Xenopus tropicalis: one gene and its partners. The protein of the gene in region 1 purifies or fractionates together with the protein of each later gene. This does not show direct contact. Links are inferred from orthologs where the notes say so. Each region holds a gene or a part of one and is shown in the gene's direction. Other genes may lie near its edges.

Region 1 (3,429 bases):
CTCCAGAACATCTCAGTCCCTACTATACTCCCCCAGAACATCTCAGTCCCTACTATACTGCCCCAGAACATCTCAATTCCTTCTATACACCTCCAGAACATCTCAGTCCCTACTATACTCCCCCAGAACATCTCAGTCCCTACTATACACCCCCAGAACATCTCAATTCCTTCTATACACCTCCAGAACATCTCAGTCCCTACTATACTCCCCCAGAACATCTCAGTCCTTGGTATAAACCTCCCTGCAGAACATCTAATTACTTGCAATAAACTTAGAGACCACCTTATTCCTTGCTGAAAACCTGCAGAGCACATTTCTCCTTACTATAAACCCCCTGCTAATATCTCTGTCCCACCCAAATGATCCCCTTCTGCAGGAGAAGCCTGGGGCCCAGACTCCCACAGACCAACAGAAGCGCAGAGCACAGAGGCGCAGGAAGAGCCAGGCTCTGCTAATGATGGAGATCAATGGTGAGAGAAGTGCTGGGATTGGGCAGCTCAGAATGGGAATGGTCACATGTTACTGGGTAAATGCCACCTGGGCAGGTGCTTTATTGGCCTTTTTCTTCTACCACCATTTACATTTCTGTAAATTATTATTTAGGATACACGTGTGCCAGTAAGTCAGGGAATCATGTGACATCACTAAGTGCCAGTTAGAAGTGATGACATCACTAAGGATTATTTATGAGGAAGTAATTTACAGGGTATTTATTGGTTAATATAAAAGCATAACGGGTGCCTCTGTGCCAATTAGATGACAGCAATAACAGTTCCTTCTCGGATGCCTCTGGGGCGAGGGGCGAGGGAAGCGACAGCCCAAGTCGGACCCCCGAACTGAGCCGCAATGTCAGTCCCTGCCCCTCATCCAAGCCAAAGACTGAGGACTTCCAGCCCCCTGAGTTGGGCCAAGAAGGGGGTAAGAACCATAGAGATGACTTCTGGGTGGGGCTGAGGGGCAGAATAGGGACAGGGTGGGACTGATTGGTTTATTTGTATGTACAGATGGTGCCCCCCTGCTCCCCATCAGAACAGATGAACCCCCAATGTTAACCAAAGAGGAGCCGGTGGCTGAAACCCCTGCAGCCCAGGTGAGTGACATGTTGGGACCTTGGGTGGCACTGAGGGGCTTCCAACTGAATCTACAGCTGATTGGAGGGTTGCCTGGCAGTCGTTATGTGGCACTTAGTGTCCTACTAGGGATTCAATAGAATCTTAAATTCTCCCTTCCCCCCAGGTACCCAGCGCTGCCGCCATGTTCCCGCCTCTGACAGAGGAGGAGGAGTCTCTGGACGCCCCGGCACTAAAGAGATTCTGTACAGACCGAGACATAATGGGCAGATAATCCTCACAGGCTGGCGGCCATCTTACTACTCCTCTCGCATCTTTTCCCGCCTTCTATTCTCTCCACAAAACCAGCTTTTCCCTGTGGAAAGATGAACAAGTGCGTCTGACTGTAACCCGGAAAGTGACCCCGGGACCCCGAGCCCCCATAACAGTGAATTCCATCGCCTGTAGAGAATCAGTCCTGTTGGCCATTTTGTTTCGCTTCATGCCCCAAGCTCCAATGGCTGCCGCTCTCTCTGGGGGTTGCGACTGCTGCACAATTGTATCACTGCAGCCTCTGGTATCCACCATTATATACTCCTCTTGTGGGGAGTGTCATGTTGCCAGGACACGCCCCTCTCTTACACCCTAGCAACCAGGCTGCAGTTTCAAATCCAAAGCGGAGAAATGCAGAAAAATGTATAAAATATACAATTTTCCAATTTATATTTGTCTTTCTGTACGAAGTATAAATGTCAGTATTATATATTATAATATCCATGTCATGCTGATGGAATCTGCAGCGCTATATAAATATATACTTACACCAATACATTTAATTCTACTGACAGACTGCGCTCCTGGGCCCTGGCACTTGTGGCCCCTGATTGGCCGGATTTTGCCCTTATACACAGTGGCGTTTTATAAGGAGAATCTCCCAACCGTTGTCATACATTCTTTTGCACTTCCAAATCCAACCACCAGATGTCGCACCTTAGTGTATGGATAGGAATGAGTAAAAAGCAAAGGAAGCATCGCCATCTAATGGACGAAAGTGGAAATACATCTATTGGGCGATTTCTCATTATTAGCGTTGTTGCTGCATGTTTATTCACTTGTAAATGTAAAGTCCCTTTATCTCTCCAATATATAAAATACCCAGAAACCCTCCCGGGACTCTACTCTATTTTGTCTAGACAGCTGCCCCAGGATTGAGCATGTGTCTCAACCCCTTCTCCTTGTAGAGTGTAAGCTCTTTTGGGCAGGGCTCCCTTCCCCTCTTGTATCGGTTACTGATTGCTTTATATGTTACTCCTTGTAGAGTGTAAGCTCTTTTGGGCAGGGCTCTCTTCCCCTCCTGTATCGGTTATTGATTGCTTTATATGTTACTCCTTGTAGAGTGTAAGCTCTTTTGGGCAGGGCTCCCTTCCCCTCCTGTATCGGTTACTGATTGCTTTATATGTTACTCCTTGTAGAGTGTAAGCTCTTTTGGACAGGGCTCCCTTCCCCTCTTGTATCGGTTACTGATTGCTTTATATGTTACTCTGTATGCCCAATGTATGGAACCCACTTATTGTACAGCGCTGCGGGGTATGTTGGCGCTTTATAAATAAATGTTAATAATAATAATGTTGCAGACTACACCAATTCCCAAGCAGCCATGGCTCATGTATCTAAACTAATTACTAATGAGCTCTGAGCAGCGAATTGGCTTTGCATCTGTGTAGATAATAAGTAATAAAGTGGTCGGGTAACACTGTCCAATCAGGGGTTGCACCATAAAACCGGGCAAATGTTAAATACATTTATTCCCATTCATTCCTAATAATGCAGGGCAGCCCTGGGCACTGCAGGGTTAAACTGGGAACAAATTAAACACATTGGGTTCATTTTCTGTCTTTTTATTTGTTACAAAATAATCGATTTCCAGTGAAAAGTCGAATCTTTATCACGTACAAAACAGTATAAAACAATGGGTGCAACAGGGAGCCGGTCCCACCCACAAGGAACAGGGATGAGCCAAAGGGCATCGTTGTATGGAATTGCCCACAGATCTGGGGAAACTGGGCTGAAGAGCTGACAATCAGATTGCATGTGAGTGGGGATGAGAAACTATCATTGTCGATTACCGATCCCCCCCCCGCAGGCCCAGTGTGGGGGTCTGTGCAATTCAATCTGTAGGGAAAGAAAACAAATGATCAGGGAATGTTCCATCTCATCCCTCCTCTTATCTAGATTCGGTATTTGGCACAACCCCGAAACCTTCATGAAAGTTTCAGCCGAATCCGAATCTGCATCCGATAATAGTGGATTCAGTGCATCCCTAGTTACGACCCCATCATAGACTTCACACTGCTTATTGTCAGTCTAAATATTAGGG
Region 2 (4,052 bases), on another chromosome or scaffold:
AGCCACTCCCTGATCATCTCCTGTCTGTCCCTCAATATGTAAAACGTCTTACTAAAACACACGCCAGATTTGTTGCTTTTTTAATGAGAGGGAGGGTTTGTCTGTAAAAATACCATAATTATATTTATATATATATAGATATATAACACGCATGGATTCAGCACTCCTGAGCGTAGTCAATGGACCCGGGTGCAACCAACTGAGCATTGAAAAAAAGAAAATATAGTGTATATTGGTGCACACCGGGAATCATTTAAAACATAACTTTTATTAAATAGTTAATACATTACAGATCAGGCTAACGTTTCGGTCTGCATCTAAGACTTTTATCAAGAGGAAGTCTTAGATGCAGACCGAAATGTTAGACTGATCTTTAATGTATTAACTATTTAATAAAAGTTATGTTTTAAATGATTCCCGGTGTGCACCAATATACGCTAGGTTTTACATATATATATATATATATATATATATATATATATAGGACAAGCACACCATTTCACTGCAATTCTTCTATTTATTCATTCACACACACACACACACACACACACACACGGTGAATGAATAAATAGAAGAATTGCTGTGAAATGAAGTGCTGGTCCTGTTTATAGGTATTTACATATTTTGACTTCAGCACTCACCAGTTAAACTGGTTTAGAGTGCGGACACAGCTTGACTTATATATATATATATATATAGATATATATATATAAACTTTCTTCATTTCATAATTTCATATTACTGGCTGATATGGGCTGAACAGCCTGAAACCTTCTAGTAATCCTCTACTGGCCAATAATGAAAGGGGGAACTGCCTGACACCTTCACCCACAATTCACTGCACCCATGGCACCTGCCCTGTCCCCACTGTGTTTAAAATAAAAAAGATGCTCTTTAGAGAGGAGTTGTGAGAATGTGGATATGTATGGTCAGATTCTGAGTGAAAACAAATGTGCTGCTCCCTCATTTTGTCATTTTGTGGCACCTTTATACCGGCACCTACACCAGTCACCTGCAAGCATCCCCCTCAAAGGCAGCAGAGTGAGCGCTGTGGGGGATTATTGGAAGGAGTTCTCTCTCTTTCTCTATAGCCTGTGCAGTTGTTCACAGCTGAACTATGTAGGAGGTGTGGTTTTGGCACCCTCTTCACGGAGGAAGTGGCAAAGCAGAGGAAAACTACAGACAGCAGGATTAAAAATAAAACCAAGGAGGAATTGGGAGGAGGAGGAGTTGGCAGAAGGATTGAGCAGGAGGGGAAGAGGCCATGATCCGGATAATGATCTCATGGCCCGGCTGCCAGTGAGAGTTGCAGCCCCTGTGAGTGACGGCGTGTCTGCAGCACTGACAGGCGGGCACGGGTTGGTCAAAAGGTGGCACTGACCAGTTACCTCAGCAGCAGCATTATCCGCTCCTCATCCCGTCAGGGTGACAGACTGCAGGGACAGGGACATAAAGCGAAGTAGAAGGACTAAAAGCAGCGGTTCAAGCTCTGGCTCTTCGGTAAGGGGTGAAGGTAAGAAAGGCTTGCTTTACCTTTTGTTATTAATCTGCTCAGCCTTAACCCCATCCTCCCCAGGTGGGTATTGTGTTTGCCTTGTAGTCTCTGGCAGCTTCCACATTTCAGACAGTTTATTTGTTTTTCAGCAGTCCTTTAACCCTTTCACATTAAGTAAGGTGTTTTCAGACCTTTACTTGTGGGTCACAATAGGGACACGCAGTCATTTAAAGCCTGGCATGGTGCCCTGCACAGAGGGAGGGGGCATGGAGTGTAAGAACATAAGGAAATCTGCTTTGGGCATCAAAGCCGGGAAGGCAGTGCTGCAGGCTGCTCTAGTTCTCTGAGCTTTACAGCTGCTCATCCCCTTTCTCTTCTTTTTGGCAATGAAGTTTCAGTGAGGTGACAAGCAACTTAGCAGTTTCATTCTCCACATTATTCTCATTGTTTTATCAGTGTAGACCTGAGGCAGCAGAATTAATAGCATCTGCACCTTTACCTAGGATTAGCTCTGTGTGCTTCTGAAAGAATGCTCTTATACTGTATATTTATACATTTTATTTCAGTTAAAGGGGTAGTTCACCTTTAAATTAACTTTTAATATGTTGTAGACATTGATATTCTGAGACAATCTGGACAATCATTGGTTTTTCAGTTATTTAGCTTTTTGTTCAGCATCTCTCCATTTGGTATTATAGCAGCTATCTGGTTGCTAGGGTCTTATTTACCCTAGCAACCAGGCAGTGGTTTAAACAAGAGATGGGGACATGAATAGTAGAGGACCTGCATAGAAAGATAAGTAATAAAAAGTAACAATAATAATAAAATTGTAGCCTCACAGAGCAATCGTTTTTGGCTGCTGGGATCAGTGACCCCCATTTAAAAGCTGGAATAAGGCAGATGAGAAAGGCAAATAATTCAAAAACTATAAAAAATAAACAAATTGCAGAGCTGCTAGGAATAGGGCATTCTGTAAAATTCTAAGAGTTAACTTAAAGGTGAACCACCCCTTTAACCATGTATATGGAAAAGATTGTTCTCTTAATGTGAACTGTTAAGGTGCCCATACATTGGCCGATTGTAGCTGCCGTCGGCAGCTTATTGGCCTGTGTAGGGGCAGCAACGACGGCCATGCCCGACCGATATCTGGCCTGAAATTGGGCAGATATCGTTTGGGCAGGTTAGAAAATTTAGTCGGATCGGGAACCACATCGGAACCCAATGCGCCCTTTGCCATCGTTATAATTCGATCGCTTGGCCCCCATAAATTTGCCCAATATTGCCCACCTGTAGGTGGGGATATCGGGAAAAGATCCGCTCACTTGGCGGCCTCGCCAAGCAAGTAGATCTTAATGTGTATGGCCACCTTTAGACTTGTGTATGTTGTACAAAGGTGAACAACCCATTTAAGTTTCATGACCCAAATATTAGAAAAAGACTGATAAAATATTTCATGAACACATAGCCAAGAGAAAGCCCATTTACTCTAAAATGCAATGGCAACACAGTTAGGTTGACTATGTTGTATCTGAAAGGATCACAAGATTTCTGGAAAAATCATCCTCCGGACAATTAATAGTTTGTCCTAATGCACAAAATCCTGTCTTTCCAAGATGAAAAACAACATAACACAAGAACCTCATACAAACTGCCAAGACACAAAACCTGCACATTTCACAGGCAATGAGTCCACTATGAATTTCTCTTCATACCAGAGAATTATAGAGCAAAATGTGGTGCTATCTGACAGTACACCTACAAATTTACACCTAAATGGCTATGGGATATATTTATCATGCTGTGTAAAAAGTGGAGTAAAACATTGCCGCTGATGTTGCTCATAGCAGCCAATCAGATGCTTTGCTTTGATTTTCTAACTGTTGAAATCTAATTGCTGATTGGTTGCCCTGGGCAACAATCACCGGAAATACTTCACTCCACTTTTTACACAGCATGATATATATACCCCTTAGTGTTTTGGAATGGCAAAGTCCAGACCTCAAACTCATGGAGATGTTATGATGGACCCATAAAAGAGCTATGCATAACCAACTACCCTCAAACATCAATATGGATCTATATGGAAGAGTAGGACAACATTTCTCCCTGAAATATTGTTAACATTCTACAAGAACTAATTACTTCAAGTTGCCGGTAAAGGTTCTACTTGTAGATACTACAGCTACAGTGCCTCATTTACAAATGGTACACTCCCTTTTCTTCAGTTTACATTGCCTAGCTGATCCACAATTCTTCTGATGCACTGCATAAACCCCACAAGCCCATGTTACAGAGATGCTAGTCTGGTGGCTTTTTGTTCTTGGTGAATCTAGGCCAGGCCATGACAATGCCATGTCTATTACACCATTGCCATTCTTCCAGATCTACCTTATGCTGCTAGTTTCTGAGGATATTTAGTTAGTTTTAGTCAGTTTTAGGTCAGGTTTGGGTCAGTGTTTTTCAGTGGCGGGATTAACGTTGATTCAGGTGAAAATTACAGGGAGCAGATATTGGGCTGTTACTGCAGACAATGGGAGTCTCCAAAAATGTCTGAGTA
Region 3 (3,500 bases), on another chromosome or scaffold:
TCTTCCTTACCCCCTCTGCTGATTACAGAACCATGTGCTTAACCGCAATAATGTTCTTTTTATTGTAGGTTAATAAAAACAAGAAGTGGCGAGAGCTGTCAAGCAATCTGAATGTTGGCACCTCTAGCAGTGCAGCCAGCTCCTTGAAAAAGCAGTACATACAGTATCTGTTTGCCTTTGAATGCAAGATTGAGAGAGGGGAGGAGCCACCTCCAGAGATTTTCAATCCTGGAGAGTCAAAGAAGCAGCCTAAGATTCAGCCGCCATCTCCTGGTAAGCAAAAGGAATGCATCCAGTTCTACCTCAAGTGCCACAGCAGCAGCTGAAATCATGTCCAGTTATAATTCCCATGAAACCTCTACCCACCCCATGACAGGAATATATGGCTGGGCATTTTTTGAAAAACAAAACATTTTTTTAGCAAGAAAACAACAAAAATGTAGTCTGGTTCAGTTATCTTGAGCGTAAAAGCTGTTCATTGTCCCACTTCTTCTCAATTCATGTGTTTTATGGAGGATTTTAGGAATTAATTGGTACAATCAGATGCCAATTAAAGGTCTGTTCAGGGATCCACTGTAAGCAAGGAATTTACTGCATAAATCAGCACAGTTTCTTGATGAAATTGATATGCTAAATGCATCTAAATGATTATGGTTCACTTCAGTGTGAAGTTATTAACATGGATATGGACAACAGACTGATGATCGATTGGATCATGGCGTGGAAGTGCTTTTGCTGTTCCATTTTGTCTTGGGCCATGACCATACCTTTATTTTCATTCCACCACTATCCCTCTAAGCTGTGCTCTTGTTTACACACAAAGTCTGACCTGTGCACTTGTTTACACACAAATTCTGACCTGTGCACACACAACATAATATTGAGCTGACAGAAAATGTTAAATTAAAAAATGAAAAAAAAAAAAAAAATTTCTAAAAAAGCGTGAGCGATAGCTCCTATGTTCTACAGCCTACAAATAGTTTGCCTGAATATGGTTTCATCTATAGTGTGTCATCTTCAGAGCTATGTCTGGCAACCCACACATCGAATGATGCTCATCCTGGTTTGGTGAGTATTTATAAGTTTAAGATTTTAGTGCACTTATAAAAAAAAAAAAAAAGTTATATTTATTCACAATCCTAAAAGGCACATCGCTGAGGGGATGATCAAAAGATAAAACACTTAAAAAGCCTAAAGTACCAATCTAGGACACTAAAGTAAGCAGGGTGTAGCTTCAAGATTATCTATTTCACATTTGCAACCACTTACTTCTGAGAGAGTATTAGTTGTGCACCAACACAGCTTCTACGTACAATGCTACTTTACCTATAATGTAATATGCAACTCAATAGAGCACTCAAAAGTGTGATACTGTATGTTTAAAAAGGTCTACTTATTCATCTCCCACTGCCAAGATATCTGCAGGTTAGGCCTGACCAATTAAACAACAAAGCACAGCACCCTAGCCCCAATTCGCTGCCCCACACCTTTCAGACCCACCCACCTACTGTTAATCCATGTGCCCATGCCTAACCCAGTTCAATTTCAGCAGTGTATAAATGAAGACGAAATCGCGATTTTGCAAGCTGAAATGAATTTGGGAGAGCATTTAAACGGATTCTGTCATGATTTTTATGGTACTATTCATATATTATATATTATTTTTTTTAGTTGTAATATTGGTGTGTAGGCTGAGTCTGAGCTTTCAGAAGGAGCCAGCTCTACACATTAGAACTGCTTTCAGATAACCTTTTGTTTCTTCTATTCCCATGTAACTGGGGGAGCTGCAAGCCGGACTTGGATTTCTTACTATTGAGTGCTGTTCTGATATCTACCACTTTTAGCAATACAGGTGCCAGGGAGCTGCTATCTTGCTACCTTCCTATTGTTCTGCTGATTGGCTGCTGGGGGGAGGGGGTGATATCACTCCAACTTGCAGCTCAGCAGTAAAGTGTGACTGAAATTTATCAGAGCACATCGTTGTGGCACTCTGGGAAATGAAGAATATGGCTAGACTTATGTGAAATTAAAAATAAAAAAATCTTTGTGTTTTTGAAAAACGAATTTCAATGCAGGATTCTGTTGGAGAAGCTCTATTAACTGATGTTTTCCCATGACAGCGATCCTTTAATGCTATTAGACACCACTGCATTTGGAAACCCCACTATGGACACTCAGAAGGCAGGGTGTGACGTAGATGCACAGTTTCTACATTTACTAATTTACAGATCCTCACCGCTTATCTGTATTCCATACAAATGGGTCCATGTCAAAAACCCAGTAAATCTTTCCATTTTTACATTTGCAAAGTTGCCATAGCATTTTCCTACATAAATAATAGCCTCGCTTCAGAGATATAAGCCCAGTCATCAAAGCGAATTCCACTGAGTAGGCTTTCAGAAAAGGGAATAAAAGAGACCAATCCAAGCACAGCTGAGAGCCTGGCCCTAATCAGCAAGCTTACAAAAACCATTAATCTTTGCAGGCATGAAACGGGCTGATTTTGCTATTATTAGCTGACAGGTGATGTCACAGAATCTGTCCAGAAGCCAACAGGGAATCCCCACAGAGGAGGGAGGGGGTTGTTCATGGGCTTCCCTGCTTTAGTAAACAAAGATGTCCTCATTCTGACCTCTGCTCAGAGCAAAACTAGTGACGTGTTTGGGCGCTTGCAATTTCCTCCCACCCCACCCTATCCCTCTACCTCAGCCAGAATTAGGCCAGTAGGTTCATGCTGTGTAAATTATCTTCCCAGCGTGGTGCTGGCTGCTCACTCTGAGAAATGCACTGCACTTAACCTCTAATAACCTCTCCTTTGTTTACTTTATAGTGTGCGCCTCAGACTGCAGCCAGTAGGTATGCATATCATCTCTTGCCAGATATTAACCTACTGTCTGGGAGACTGCCTTGTCTTTTCTCAGTCCCTGGCAAATCACTGGCTCATGCAAATGGATATTATGCCCCATTTTTCTACAACAATTTGGGGTTTTTTTTTAGTCTCATGTGACTAATTAAAAATCATTTTTTCTAGACTGGTGTAGCATTACAAAATAACATCCTGGCAGTTGTCATGATACGACTATCCCTAGTGTGTGTGTGAATGTGATTGGGACTTTAGACTGTAAGCTCCACTGGGGCAGGTACTGTTGTGAATGATGTATAAACTTGGTAAAGATACGGAATATGACATTGCTGTATTAAAAAAACCCTAGCATTGCCATCTCTCAGTAAGACCAACCTTTTTCAGTACTGTTTATAGTCTAGGAACCATAGCTGCAACTGCAGTAGCTTAACGGCAAGGAAAACCGTGTCCCGAGTCCCCGGGTGGCAATAAGGATTTTTTGGGCGAGTGCAAAAAAAATTCTTCATTCGTATAAATTTTTTAAAACCATGTGCTCTTTTTTAAAAAAACCTTTTTGGCGGGTGTTCACTCAAAAACTCTTTATGCACACCCAGGCCCAGATTTCTCCGTGGTCCACCCCAAGGTCGCTCACCCCTCC
Region 4 (3,418 bases), on another chromosome or scaffold:
TTTGGGGTTATGTAATGAAAGGCATTATGTTGGTAAGCCATAGCAACCAATCGGCAGGTTGAATTTACTGGTCACCTGTTTAAAAGCATTTTATTGGTTACTGCTCCTGGGCAAACTTAGTGCCTTATATTACACATGGGGGCTTATGCTGATTTTCTTTAGGGCAATTGGAAGAATCTGTATTTGTTTCAAATATTATTCTGTGGGATTCCCAAGCAGCAGAGGGACATAAGTTTGCATATGGAACTTCAGACTATTATCTAAGTAATGGAAATAGTTCTATATGTTGCTTTTGGCATGTTTCCTTTAATACAAACTGCTGGTGGTTTTTCCCCCTCCCAGCGTATGGATCTGGACAGGCGAAGAGAGGAAGCCCGTAATCCCAAACGCAAACCTCGCCTCATGGAGGAAGATGAGCTGCCGTCCTGGATCATTAAGGACGACGCCGAGGTTGAGCGCCTTACTTGCGAAGAAGAAGAAGAAAAGATGTTTGGCCGCGGCTCCCGTAACCGCAAGGAGGTGGATTATAGTGACTCGCTCACGGAAAAGCAGTGGCTGAAGGTACTAGATAAGATGCACTCTATGGAAAGAGAAGCATGTGTGACCCTGTGTATTGGTTCTCACGTGCCTTTTTGACTCCCCGCAGGCCATAGAAGAGGGCACTCTAGAAGAGATTGAGGAAGAAGTGCGCCAGAAGAAAACCACTCGCAAGAGGAAGAGAGATATAGACCCTTGCATAGTCATGCCCACCACAAGCACACGGGGCAGGGAGAGGGATGACGAGGGTAAGAAACAGAAGAAGAGGGGGCGGCCCCCTGCCGAGAAACTTTCCCCAAACCCCCCAAAACTCACAAAGAAAATGAAGAAGATTGTGGATGCCGTCATTAAGTACAAAGACAGGTGAGGAGACCCCTGACTGCTGCATAAACTGCTGCATAGTCCGTTGCCCATAGTTCCCTAGCTCATATGTGTATTTCTGTCTTTCAGTGGAAACGGGCGCCAGCTAAGTGAAGTTTTTATCCAACTGCCATCCCGTAAGGAACTCCCTGAGTACTACGAGCTGATCCGTAAGCCAGTGGACTTCAGGAAGATCAAGGTGAGTGCCGGTGCTTTCTGATGTCATGTTCACCTTCCCAGTACCATGTGATCAGCAATCTGACCCAAAGCTCCCTTGTGTTTCTGCAGGAGAGGATCCGAAACCATAAGTACCGCAGCCTAAATGATCTGGAGAAAGACGTCATGCTGCTGTGTCAGAATGCTCAGACCTTCAACCTGGAGGGCTCCTTGGTAAGCAGTACTGACCTTTTTACATCCTTTCATTGGTCGCTGAAGGGTGTGTAAATGTAGAACCTACGCTGCCGCCACTCTGGAACCTTTTTTTTTTTGCAGCAGCAGCAGCAGCATAAATTCTGTATTGCTTGGCAGTTATGGGGTTAAACAGAAGTAATGTTTGTCCCAGCAAGTGGTTGATGGCAATGCTAGATAAATGATGGGTGTCCATTTTCTTTTTACAGATCTATGAAGACTCGATTGTGCTCCAGTCCGTGTTCACCAGTGTGAGACAGAAGATCGAGAAGGAAGAGGAGAGCGAGGGAGAGGAGAGTGAGGAAGAGGAGGACGTGGAAGAAGAAGGCTCAGAGTCTGAGTGTGAGTACGCCGACACCGCCATGTTGTCCGCGTTGTCATTTTGACTTTATAGGGGAAGTAATTCTATAACTCCTGTTCCAATGTTCTCTCCAACAGCTCGCTCCGTGAAGGTGAAGATTAAACTGGGTCGCAAGGAGAAGGGGCAGGAGAGGATGAAGGGACGCAGGCGGACCGGCCGAGGGTGCAGAGCCAAGCCGGTGATCAGCGATGATGATAGCGAGGAAGAACAAGAAGAGGCCAATGTAAGTTCCAGTCTCCCTGCTTCTCTTTCCTTAGTCAGCAGATCTGCTGGTTACATCTGTCTAGTGGTAGTCTCATAAGGCAGAAGGGGTTTTTAGGGAGGAGAGAGCTGGTGTCCCTATTTATTTTTTTATATTCAGTAGTTTCTGAGATACTAGCATTTTTAGGCTGCAATACTGGGCTTTCTGCTTATCTTTCTTTTAAATCTGATATTGGCAGCCTAAAACTGCTAATCCCTCAAACCACTAAAACTGAATGTAAATTACAGAAGAGGACCAATTGAAATAAGTTTACATATTTTATATATGGGCTTAGTTCCCCTTTAATGGGCAAAGCGCAGGAAACCTATAGCCTGTATGACACTGGGTTTTAAATATTCAACATGCTTTTGTCTTGTAGGAGCGCTCAGGGAGCGGAAGCGAAGACGACTGAAGTAGAATCTCGTAACATTCCTTCAAGCCCCCTCACGTCTCATTCCACAGCGTGCCACTGGAACGCCGACTCCAACCCCTGAAGTACCACGCACCCCCCCCTAAACCCCACCCCTCCCTCCTCGGAACCCCTTCCTTTCGGTAGGTCGCTAACGGGTAGCCAGAAATGTAGTGAGCTGTACAAAGTAAATTCTTCCATATTTATATAAACGATGAGATGTAGGGACGCGCCCGTCTGTAGCAAGGCAAACGCATTAAGTATCGGGCCCGACTGCTCGGCCTCTCAGGATAGGTTAAAAGGATCGACTTCTGATTCTATATGAATATATATTATTTTTTTTTTTACGGCAGTACTGTTTGCGTTACAGTATGGAATCACTGTAGTGTCGGCCCCGTGGATGCATGCTGTTAGCAATCCACCCTTTTAGTACTGTATTTTACAAAAAACAGGTCAAAATCAAGCCCAGCGTCCCGTCCCCCTCCCCCTCCCTCATGTTGCTGCACAGGGAGGGGCGGGGCTGGCGGCGGTAGCTGTATGTATGTGTGTCAGTGTCACTGGATTTCAAACCGTTATAAATTAAACCCAAGATGGAATACCTCGCTCTGTTTCTTATTTTTTTTTTTTTTTTTTGTATGGATTTTTTTTTACTGTTTTTTTGGGGGAGATGAACCCGAATAAAAATGCTGAGTCTTCATAAATAGACAAGAAAAAAAAACGCGGGTCTGTCATGATTGTGGCCGGTTTTGTTTCCTCTTCCTTTAATGCATGCTGATCCCCAGAGTTATGCTATTGGCATTATTTGGGCATAGTCCTAGTATGTAGGGCAGACTCCCTCAGGGTTTGGGGTGAGTAATGGGAAGCGGGTAAGGTTCCCCCTGTTCGTCTGCTAGACCTTCTTGCTTTTTGCCTTTCTTTTGCATCTGGGGATGGGTGTGAGTTGCTATGGAACAACTATGCCAAACAGTTACTGAGTGAGTGTCCCATGTAAAGGGGCCGGAATAAATATATACAGACGGCTAATTGCACATACTAAAAGAAAGCAAGAAATAAAACCACTTCCCAAATGTCCCTTAGGCTCACGGTGTACTGCAACCCCTCC
Region 5 (2,586 bases), on another chromosome or scaffold:
AAAAGCGGATTATTTGATGCAAGTAATTTCTGGTGCAAAATAGACTACAGGCTCTATCTGCTTCAGGTTATTATGTTTGTCTGTATGGGAGCTACCCAAATGCTTAGAGACTCTACAGTGTACAGTAGTATTTTAATGAGCAAACCATAAGCTAAAGTATAGATGGAGAACATAATAAGCTCTCTGGGAATAAAATTGGGATGCTGATAGCCAGTACAGGTTATCAGGTAATAAAGCATGTTTCATATTAATAAGAGTTATCAGTCCTGGTTGGCTTTATGCTGGTCATATTTTTTGGAATATCTTACTAGATGACCCACAGGGTAGGCTGTTGTATACATTATGGTTCACACCTGTATAGCTACATCTTTCTAATCAAATTGTTCTGATTCCCTAAGTGGACACCCATGCAGTTCCAGGGAGGCTGTTTAACTCATATACTTGTTTGGCATTATTGAATTCCCTGTCTCTTTGTATCCTATGTCTCTAAAAAAAAATACAGTAACAAAGTTCATATGGCAAATATTGTATATATCACAGTATGTGTTGACCCTGTTTGTACTATTGTATTATAAAAATCTATAGTGCTGCATGTGCAGTAGCAGAATATAAACAATTTTCCATACACCTTTTCATCAGCAACAAAATGTTTTTTTTTTTCCTTCCATCCTCCAGATATTTGAGTCTCAAAGGATGAAGTTTTCAGAGATCCCACAGAGATTGCATGCCCTCCTCATGCCTCCAGAACCAATTATAATCAATCATGTCATTAGGTAAGATGTAGTTCTGTTAGATACTAGTCTGTGATCCTAGTTACAAAATCACCCTGACTTTGTTCTGTTTTAATTAGCGTTGACCCTAATGATCAGAAGAAAACTGCTTGTTATGACATTGATGTAGAAGTTGATGATACCCTAAAAACTCAGATGAACTCCTTCCTGTTGTCCACTGCCAGTCAGCAGGAGATAGCTGCTCTAGATAACAAGGTGAGAGATAAATGCTTTGAGCTGGAATATACACAACATGGCTTCCCTTATGCATTGAGTAGAGTGGGTAGTGGGTGCTGAATAAAGCAAAGGCTGGGGATGCATTTTCAACACAAACTTGTTTGCTTGGTTAGGGTATTTGGCTGCTGTTGGGTAGGTGGAGGGCCAGGGATGAAATTGCTATCAGACATCTGAGCTGTTCAGGTGAGGGGAGACTTGCAGGAGTGGCCCTGGGCCATGTTGAGTCTTAAGTGGGTCATATTTGGTGCAGGCCTGCCCAAACCTACGAGGCCTCAAGGGACCAAACTATCAAAGAGATATTGGTGGGGCATGCAGGTGTTCTAATTGGTGATCTCGACAAATAAGCAGATCTTTTAGTCTATGCCCAGCTTAAGGCCTCCCACAACTTTTTTTTTTTTTAATAAAGTGCAGCCTGAAAGTAGGCCAGAGCTGGTAGCTTAAAGGGGTTGTTCACCTTTAAGGGTAACTTTTAATACAGAATGGCCAATTCTAAGTAACTTTTCACTTGGTCTTTATTTTTTTCTTCTGACACATTCTAGTTTTCAAATGGGGGTCACTCCAACAGCCAAAAACCTGATGCACCATGAGGCTACAATTTTATTGTTATAGTTCCTTTTTATTACTTATGTTTCTTTCTATCCAGGCCCTCTCCTGTTTATATACCTGTCTCTCATATAAACCGCCCCCTGGTTGCTAAGATCATTTGAACCCCAACAGCCAAATAACTACTTTCCAAATCGGAGAGTTGCTGAACAAAAAGTTAAATTAAAAAAAAGCACTAATTGCAAATTCTCAGAATATTACTCTCTACGTCATAGAATGTTAACCCCAGCTGGTGCAGTTTTCTCCTAACAGGAGCACAGTAATAATTGTTCACTCTGTATCCTGTACAGTTATAGATATTGTCTGTAAAATCTTTTTTTTTTTTTCTCTTTTTAACAGATTCACGAAACAATTGAAACTATTAATCAGTTGAAAATTCAGAGGGAATTTATGTTGAGCTTTGCCCGTGACCCTCAAGGATTTATTAATGACTGGTTACAGTCACAGTGCCGGGACCTCAAAGTGAGTACTTATAGGATTAAATATTTGTCATGTGAATGAAATTTCTGACCATGTTGTAACCGTTCTGTTGCCTCTTTTCCCATTAGACAATGACTGATGTGGTAGGTAATCCTGAAGAAGAACGCCGAGCTGAGTTTTACTTCCAGCCATGGGCTCAGGAGGCTGTGTGCCGGTATTTCTACTCCAAGGTACGAACAAGCTCTTTTCCAGGGTTTCATGCTGCCATTTCTCCCCCTTTTTTTTTTTTTTTAACATAATTTACAATAATGGTTAAGATCTCACTTAATGCAAATTAAAATTACAGTCATTTTGAAGGGGCTTTTATGTCTTTCAGTCACCATTTAATGAGACAAAGATTTCCCTTGGCAGCAGTGCAGTCAATATATATGAGCCTTTTAGGAAAAGAATAATTCATCCTCTTACAGAATAATTCATCCTTTTATGGATCCTCCTGTATAAAAAGTGCTTGATCCTGCAAGGCTGCAGCTTTTGCTGCAACGAGATATATACATAT
Region 6 (4,271 bases), on another chromosome or scaffold:
GGGCATAGGTAGGAAAGGGCAGTATGGGTACAGGTAGGCAGATAAGGAGGGTGGTTGTAAGAAAGTGTATGCAAAGTGGGTGGGAAAAGGAAAGAAAGGCAGGCAGAGAATGTTGGCATTGGAAGGTAGAGAGTACAGCAAGGAGATGGCAGAGTGGGCAGGCACAGGTAGAAGGAGGCAGAGAGAGGATGGGCACAGGTAGGCAAGGCAAGGCAGAGCTAGGGTTGGGGTAGCAGGGTGTGCACATATAGAAAAGGGCAGGGGTGGCACAGGTACAGAGGGGAAGGGCAAAGGGAGTGGAACTGGTAGGAAAAGGCAGAGTGGGCACAAGTAGAGTAGTGCTGACAGAGAAGGTGGCACAGGTAGGACAGGAAGGCAGCGAGGGTGAGTACAGGTAAGGGAGGGCAGGCAGAGAGAGTGAGTGCAGGTAAGAGAGGGCAGGTAGAGAGAGTGAGTGCAGGTAAGAGAGGGCAGGTAGAGAGAGTGAGTGCAGGTAAGAGAGGGCAGGTAGAGTTAGTGCAGGTAAGAGAGGGTGGGTACAGGTGAGAGAGGACAGGCAGAGAGAGTGTGGCTAAGAGAGGGTGGGTAAAGGTGAGAGAGGGCAGGCAGAGACAGTAAGAGAGGGCAGGCAGAGAGAATGAGTGTGGCTAAGAGAGGGTGGGTACAGGTGAGAGAGGGCAGGCAGAGACAGTAAGAGAGGGTGGATACAGGTGAGAGAGGGCAGGCAGAGAGAGGGAGTGCGGGTAAGAGAGGGTGGGTACAGGTGAGAGAGGGTGGGTACAAGTAAGAGAGGGCAGGCAGAGACAGTTAGTGCAGGTGAGAGAGGGCAGGCAGAGAGAGGGAGTGCGGGTAAGAGAGGGTGGGTACAGGTAAGAGAGGGCAGGCAGAGAGAGGGAGTGCGGGTAAGAGAGGGTGGATACAGGTGAGAGAGGGCAGGCAGAGACAGTTAGTGCAGGTAAGAGAGGGTGGATACAGGTGAGAGAGGGCAGGCAGAGACAGTTAGTGCAGGTAAGAGAGGGTGGATACAGGTGAGAGAGGGCAGGCAGAGAGAGGGAGTGCAGGTAAGAGAGGGTGGGTACAAGTAAGAGAGGGCAGGCAAGGAGAGTGAGCACGGGTAAGAGGGGGTGGGTACAGGTAGAGGAGGGCTGGCAAAGACGAAAGAGAAAGGGCAGATGACAAGGGGAGGAGGGGAAGAGAAACAGAGGGAGGAGAGACACAGGAGGAGGGGAGGGGAGGGAAGGCAGTGGGAGGGCAGAGATGAGAAAAGGAGGTTTGTTGCAAAACAGCTCTCTGGAAGTGATGACACCAACAGAAAAACCTTCCAATAACTTCCTATGAGCCGCCCGACAGCAGCAGGAAGGGGAAAGTGCTGAGCGCTCGGTTTGCGCCCCGGGAAACTACAGCCGGAGGATCGCAGCGCAGGGATTGCGCATTGAGAGCAGCTGTACGGGCACAATTATACGGAGAGAGGCTGAACCCCGCTGGGTTTCACTGGGGAATCCGGTTAGTAGTGCTGGACTAGCTGTAGGATAGCGGCTTTGTGCTGTACTTAGCGCCGGGCTTACACGCGTGTTACTGCTACGGGCACACAGGGCTACAGTCTGATAGGCATAGTACTGATACTAACACGAACTCTATAAGCTTGTATAACTGAATAGGGCAACACGTAGAGGATAAATATATACACACAATTTATGTATAAAATGTGCGTGTGTGTATATATATATATATATATATATATATATCAATCCAAATGGTGTCCGCACTCCAAGGCTCAATATTCTGCGGGGTGCATAGCCAAAATTATGTATATACAGAAAATAATCATCTGTGGCCAGCACACCCTTCAATGTTTTATCAAAAATTTATTGAAGATATATCGTTAAAATTGTTTAAAAGTCAAAGTGCAAACAAACTAGCCAACACACACTTTGCGGGGCTGCACAAGTAGCCAACACACACAGCCAAGACTGCACAACTAGCCAACACATGCAGTTCAAGGCTGTGCAACTAGCCAACGCACACTTTGCGGGGCTGCGCAACTAGCCAACGCACGCAGTGCGGGGCTGCGCAACTAGCCAATGCACGCAGTGCGGGGCTGCGCAACTAGCCAACGCACGCAGTGCGGGGCTGCGCAACTAGCCAACGCACGCAGTGCGGGGCTGCGCAACTAGCCAACGCACACAGTGCGGGGCTGCGCAACTAGCCAACGCACGCAGTGCAGGGCTGCGCAACTAGCCAACGCACGCAGTGCAGGGCTGCATAATTAGGAATTCTACATTATATGATTCATTAGGAAGGAGGTTGTTCACACAGAGTATATCCCTCTTGTATATACACAGCATTCCTTCACCTGTGCACAGTAGTGCTGTCTGCTGTTTAACACTCCATGACCTCTCGGGGAGGATTACCTCTACCATCTGGGAGCCCAATGAACATGATGCGGGGACCAAACCCTGGAGCATACAGACCCCCAATGGGGCCTTACCAGGTAACCATTTCCAATAGCAATGTATTGTGCATTTCCATCTTCCCTGTGCTAGATCACTTCATTTAGAATTTAGAACATTGTTTATCCAGTTTTAATTGGGCAGAGTCAGTAGGTCCAAGTTGCTGGGTCTGTTAATAGTGCCTGACTATCACATGCCCGTTTGTAGCATGTGACTAGCAGAATCCAATGGCATGAAAATGATTTACGCCTGAAGCATGATTGTGTTTTATATGCCATAGCTGCATCCAAAGTCAGGCACTAGTGCACAGAACGCTTGCATCTATAGAATTGCACATTGACTGTGCTACTGGCAAGCTGCTACTTCTGGTTTCCAAATCAGACTAAATGCGACTAAATGTTGAGCTGACTGATTTGTGACTTGTGTAGCACACCAGGCCCTTGATCTAATATTTCTAGAGCATTTTTCGGATGCAATTGTGATCTGAAGCAGTCATGTTCAGTTACAGCTCAGGTGACCTATTGAATTGCATCGCAGTTGTACAATCCAAAGGTAAAGTCGTTGGTGTAAATAAAGACTGTGGATGTTTCACTTTCATCCAGTATCTTTCTAAATTCTTTGTGTAATTGTGAAAAATGAGACATAACATCTTCATGTGACAATCAGTGCACATCATTATGGTCCCAGGTAGGCAGGAGGAGAGTATAGATAAGGCCTTGATGGTTGCTAAGCAGGGCCTAGATAATCTAGGATGGCTTGTGTAACCATTCCAAGAATAATATAATAATAGTAATCCTACATTTTATACAATGGTGCATATCATGGTAAACAACTGATCAGTTGATTTAAATCTACTTCACTTTATAATTGTCTTTTCACTGCATGTCACTGTGGTGTGTTCTGGTATCGTTCACTCCTTTTTAATTTTTCATTTTCATACATATTGGTATAGTTCACCAGCAAATGGCATGGTCCGAGTTTGCTGTTGATCAGTGTGGTACAGTTTGGTATAGTTCATCACTGGTTGTTTGGAGTATGGTTGAACTGGTATCATTCACTGCCTTTCAGTGTTGTGCATGCTGGTATAGATCACTTTAGGATGGTCTATTCTGGTAGAGTTCACTGCCTAGGAATGTGGTATGTTCAGGTCTAGTTCAACACCAGTCAGTGTGGTACAACACAGTTAAGTTCACTCTCTGTCAGTGAGGTACATGCAAGTATAGTTCATCACTGGCACCTGATACCATTGGTAGATGTGGTGCATTCTTGTACAGTTCACCATTGGTAGATGTGGTGCATTCTAGTATAGTTCACCATTGGTAGTGTGGTGCATTCTAGTATAGTTCACCATTGGTAGTGTGGTGCATTCTAGTATAGTTCACCATTGGTAGTGTGGTGCATTCTAGTATAGTTCACCATTGGTAGTGTGGGGCATTCTAGAACATGTCCGCACTTCCAAATGTGGTGCATTCTAGAACAGGTCAGCACTGGCAGATGTGGGGCATTCTAGAACATGTCCGCACTTCCAAATGTGGTGCATTCTAGAACAGGTCAGCACTGGCAGATGTGAGGCATTCTAGAACATGTCAGCACTTCCAAATGTGGTGCACTCTAGAACAGTTCACAATTGGTAGATGCGGTGCATTGTAGTACAGGTCACCACTGGCAGATGTGGGGCATTCTACTGACCTCTACTTTTAATTTTAAATTGAATGGCCTTTATGATTGTCAGGTTTTCTCAGTCTCATTTAATTTCAGCCCTTTTAATCTAATTTTAAGATAAAGATCCATAGTGACCTATTAATATGAGGTAATGAGGAC
Region 7 (2,705 bases), on another chromosome or scaffold:
TTTAAAGGAACAGTAACACCAAAAAATGAAAGTATTTTAAAGTAATTGAAATATAACATACTGTTGCCCTGCACTGGTAAAACTCGTGTGTTTGCTTCAGGAACACTACTTTAATTTATATAAATAGGCTGCTGTGTAGCCACGGGGGCAGCAATTCAAGCTGAAAAAAGAAGAAAAGGCACAGGTTACATAGCAGATAACAGATAAGACACCATTGTATTCTACAGGGTTTATTTGTTAGCTGTGCCTTTTCTTCTTTTGAATGGCTGCCCCCATGGCTACACACCAGGGTTTATATCAACTCTAGTAATGTTTCTGAAGCAAACACACAATTTTTACCAGTGCAGGGCAGCAGTACATTATAGTTTAATTTCTTTAAAATATATACATTTTTTGGTGTTACTGTTCCTTTAAGACAGGACTGCTGCTATTTCAAGAAAAGGGATGGAGACCATTTAATGACACTGGTCTATGCAAGTGTACAATAAGTGAGTAAAGATTAGTGATTTTTTCTTTAATTTAAATTCCTATAGCATATTCCCCCTTTTTACCAAACATTACCTATTTTTTTCAAGACGCATAAAAACTTGTGTCCATTTAATTTCATTATTGCAAATAAAAAAAAAAATTGCATGTTGTCTTTCTGTATCTGTTTCCTTTGTTCCCTAGCGCTAAGTTGCATAGCTAGAAGGCTTCTCTTGTTATTCATTTGGATCAGTTTAACATTTTCTGAGTATGTAAACCTTTATCTGACGTGGCTCTTTTATCAGAGTCACAATTAATGTTCTGATATCCTGTACTTCACACACAAACAAATGTTTTTCCTCCTCATCAGCCACTCCAGCTGTGTCTTCTGCTTAGTGCTGGTTATGAGATAGTCATGAAAAAAAGGGTCTGCTTTTAACTGACTTTAAAATGAAATTTGTTTTGCTTGCCAACTGTATAATTCTAGGGCAAATGTTTAGTACTTATAGGATTTCCCAATGTGGCTATGAAACTTTGTGCCTTTCTATATGGTTTCTATGCTTTTAAAACTCCCATTAATAGTCATGTCCTTCTCACATTATTTTCTTGTTTCAGTGAAAACCCACTGCCGACAGTAGAGATTGCTATTCGAAATACAGGCGATGCTGACCAGTGGTGCCCCCTCCTGGAGACCCTCACTGATGCCGAAATGGAGAAGAAGATCCGGGACCAGGACCGGAACACCAGGTGCCACCGCCGTTTCATACGCTTTTCCTTCCGGGCTTCCCGCCGGGGTAGAATATAGACAACAAGGTGGAACTTCCTCGGAGCATCTGCGAGGAAAACTTTCCAGCTTATGCGCACCAGCCTATGACGTGATGTGTCTTTATCTGTGTCTGTGCTGTCGTTGCTTCAGCCGATGGAGCTGCACTTTTAATCGTTATCGCACTTTGCAAGTGATGTGTTGGTATTTAATCTGACTTTAGCTGGTGGGATTGGACATTTCTCCCAGTGCTCGCCTTTAGCTTAGTAGCACCATCTGTTGCCAATTTTGCCAGTTTTTGTCTTTTTAGGAAATTCTCTCTTTTTATTCTTTTAGCCCTAATTGGCCTTAGTGCCCAATGTACTTATATAGCTCTCCAAATTTCTGCTCCCTTGTCTCACATTGAGATAAACTTGACATTCTCCAGTATTCTTTTCTGCCAGTGGAACATGCAAAACACTTCATTTAAGATCCCAACAGCCGTAGGGTATATCCCTATTTAAAACAAGTGGCCACAGCAGAACCATGTATGTTAATTAGCAGCTTGAATTCCATAGGTAGCTTTAGTGTTCTTTATATTGTCCAGCAATATCTAAAATCTGGTGCCAAAACAATTGTTGTTGTCTTGTTAAACTAGATAGAATTTTGCTTTATATGGTAAGCTTAATAAGTATACCTTTACCTGTAGAGAATAGTTATGCTGATGCATGTTTCAGGCCAAATATTTCCCTATTTTATGCAGAGTTGGTGGCTTTATGAAATACATATTTGCAGTATTATTGTAAGTTTGTGACATTTCTTCTCCACTGCATATGACAGTGTAGCTGCAGTATTATTGTTTCCTTGGAGGGTAAGGAACACTGTACAGGTTGGAAGAATATTCCACGTTGGGGTGATTATTTAAAAAGTTATTTGAACCCACCAGAACTGGCAATGAAAACTTCTGTCTATGTATTTTGTTGGCTTTATTAATTGATAAGAGAGCCAATCCCAAAGAATAGTTCTACACAGTTCTATGTATTAAATGTCATCCGCACTTTATTTTGTAATTTGTTTATGGCCTTTGCTTTTAAATAACTTTTGGACTGCCCAAGTCCTGTAACACCATTCAGAGTAATGCGGGACATACTCTGGGTAGGCTGAATTCTGCACTTTTTGGTACACAGTCTCTTTTAAAGGGTGAAGTTATGTGTTTAGTGGGCTTGACGCTAACAATTAATAATGTTTGTCATGTCTGTTCCTGACCTTTGTTGTCTTGTGAATAATTAGCCTATTTTTAGATACAGATTTTAATGAGGTGTTGTCACCAGTTAGTATTTTCTTTGCTGACATTAGCAAAATAGATATTAATAACGCAATTTACATGGACTAGATTTTCAACAGTATCCCAGTATTGTCTTTCATTATTGTCATGTTTATTCAGACAAGGTTTCTTTAAATGTCATAGTGAAGTTAGTCTGTTTTTAAACAATGGCTT

What was found.
Region 2: the proteins of bcl7c (region 1) and smarca2 purify together in Homo sapiens (affinity purification with mass spectrometry; 4 studies listed by BioGRID and IntAct, counting the BioPlex papers as one, with this or other methods). This does not show direct contact. The link is inferred for Xenopus tropicalis from reciprocal best matches to the Homo sapiens genes BCL7C and SMARCA2.
Region 3: the proteins of bcl7c (region 1) and arid1b purify together in Homo sapiens (affinity purification with mass spectrometry; 4 studies listed by BioGRID and IntAct, counting the BioPlex papers as one, with this or other methods). This does not show direct contact. The link is inferred for Xenopus tropicalis from reciprocal best matches to the Homo sapiens genes BCL7C and ARID1B.
Region 4: the proteins of bcl7c (region 1) and smarca4 purify together in Homo sapiens (affinity purification with mass spectrometry; 6 studies listed by BioGRID and IntAct, counting the BioPlex papers as one, with this or other methods). This does not show direct contact. The link is inferred for Xenopus tropicalis from reciprocal best matches to the Homo sapiens genes BCL7C and SMARCA4.
Region 5: the proteins of bcl7c (region 1) and smarcd1 purify together in Homo sapiens (affinity purification with mass spectrometry; 5 studies listed by BioGRID and IntAct, counting the BioPlex papers as one, with this or other methods). This does not show direct contact. The link is inferred for Xenopus tropicalis from reciprocal best matches to the Homo sapiens genes BCL7C and SMARCD1.
Region 6: the proteins of bcl7c (region 1) and smarcd2 purify together in Homo sapiens (affinity purification with mass spectrometry; 3 studies listed by BioGRID and IntAct, counting the BioPlex papers as one, with this or other methods). This does not show direct contact. The link is inferred for Xenopus tropicalis from reciprocal best matches to the Homo sapiens genes BCL7C and SMARCD2.
Region 7: the proteins of bcl7c (region 1) and smarcb1 purify together in Homo sapiens (affinity purification with mass spectrometry; 7 studies listed by BioGRID and IntAct, counting the BioPlex papers as one, with this or other methods). This does not show direct contact. The link is inferred for Xenopus tropicalis from reciprocal best matches to the Homo sapiens genes BCL7C and SMARCB1.

Annotation. Positions count from the first base shown.
Region 1 is NC_030685.2:5,705,624-5,709,052, reverse strand, and holds the end of bcl7c (B-cell CLL/lymphoma 7 protein family member C), read left to right. Parts: intron 1-379; coding exon 380-473; intron 474-759; coding exon 760-921; intron 922-1,007; coding exon 1,008-1,093; intron 1,094-1,239; coding exon 1,240-1,347; 3' UTR 1,348-2,929; downstream 2,930-3,429. UniProt on the Homo sapiens protein: May play an anti-apoptotic role.
Region 2 is NC_030677.2:128,296,838-128,300,889, reverse strand, and holds the start of smarca2 (probable global transcription activator SNF2L2), read left to right. Parts: upstream 1-1,252; 5' UTR 1,253-1,513; intron 1,514-4,052. UniProt on the Homo sapiens protein: ATPase involved in transcriptional activation and repression of select genes by chromatin remodeling (alteration of DNA-nucleosome topology).
Region 3 is NC_030681.2:52,290,117-52,293,616, forward strand, and holds part of arid1b (AT-rich interactive domain-containing protein 1B), read left to right. Parts: intron 1-68; coding exon 69-273; intron 274-3,500. UniProt on the Homo sapiens protein: Involved in transcriptional activation and repression of select genes by chromatin remodeling (alteration of DNA-nucleosome topology).
Region 4 is NC_030679.2:138,931,042-138,934,459, forward strand, and holds the end of smarca4 (transcription activator BRG1), read left to right. Parts: intron 1-342; coding exon 343-561; intron 562-646; coding exon 647-900; intron 901-987; coding exon 988-1,096; intron 1,097-1,185; coding exon 1,186-1,287; intron 1,288-1,514; coding exon 1,515-1,647; intron 1,648-1,743; coding exon 1,744-1,889; intron 1,890-2,286; coding exon 2,287-2,319; 3' UTR 2,320-2,918; downstream 2,919-3,418. UniProt on the Homo sapiens protein: ATPase involved in transcriptional activation and repression of select genes by chromatin remodeling (alteration of DNA-nucleosome topology).
Region 5 is NC_030678.2:148,811,972-148,814,557, forward strand, and holds part of smarcd1 (SWI/SNF-related matrix-associated actin-dependent regulator of chromatin subfamily D member 1), read left to right. Parts: intron 1-675; coding exon 676-773; intron 774-850; coding exon 851-986; intron 987-1,949; coding exon 1,950-2,072; intron 2,073-2,158; coding exon 2,159-2,260; intron 2,261-2,586. UniProt on the Homo sapiens protein: Involved in transcriptional activation and repression of select genes by chromatin remodeling (alteration of DNA-nucleosome topology).
Region 6 is NC_030686.2:15,739,913-15,744,183, reverse strand, and holds the start of smarcd2 (SWI/SNF-related matrix-associated actin-dependent regulator of chromatin subfamily D member 2), read left to right. Parts: upstream 1-1,471; 5' UTR 1,472-1,503; intron 1,504-2,342; 5' UTR 2,343-2,389; coding exon 2,390-2,491; intron 2,492-4,271. UniProt on the Homo sapiens protein: Involved in transcriptional activation and repression of select genes by chromatin remodeling (alteration of DNA-nucleosome topology).
Region 7 is NC_030677.2:153,151,373-153,154,077, reverse strand, and holds part of smarcb1 (SWI/SNF-related matrix-associated actin-dependent regulator of chromatin subfamily B member 1), read left to right. Parts: intron 1-1,080; coding exon 1,081-1,212; intron 1,213-2,705.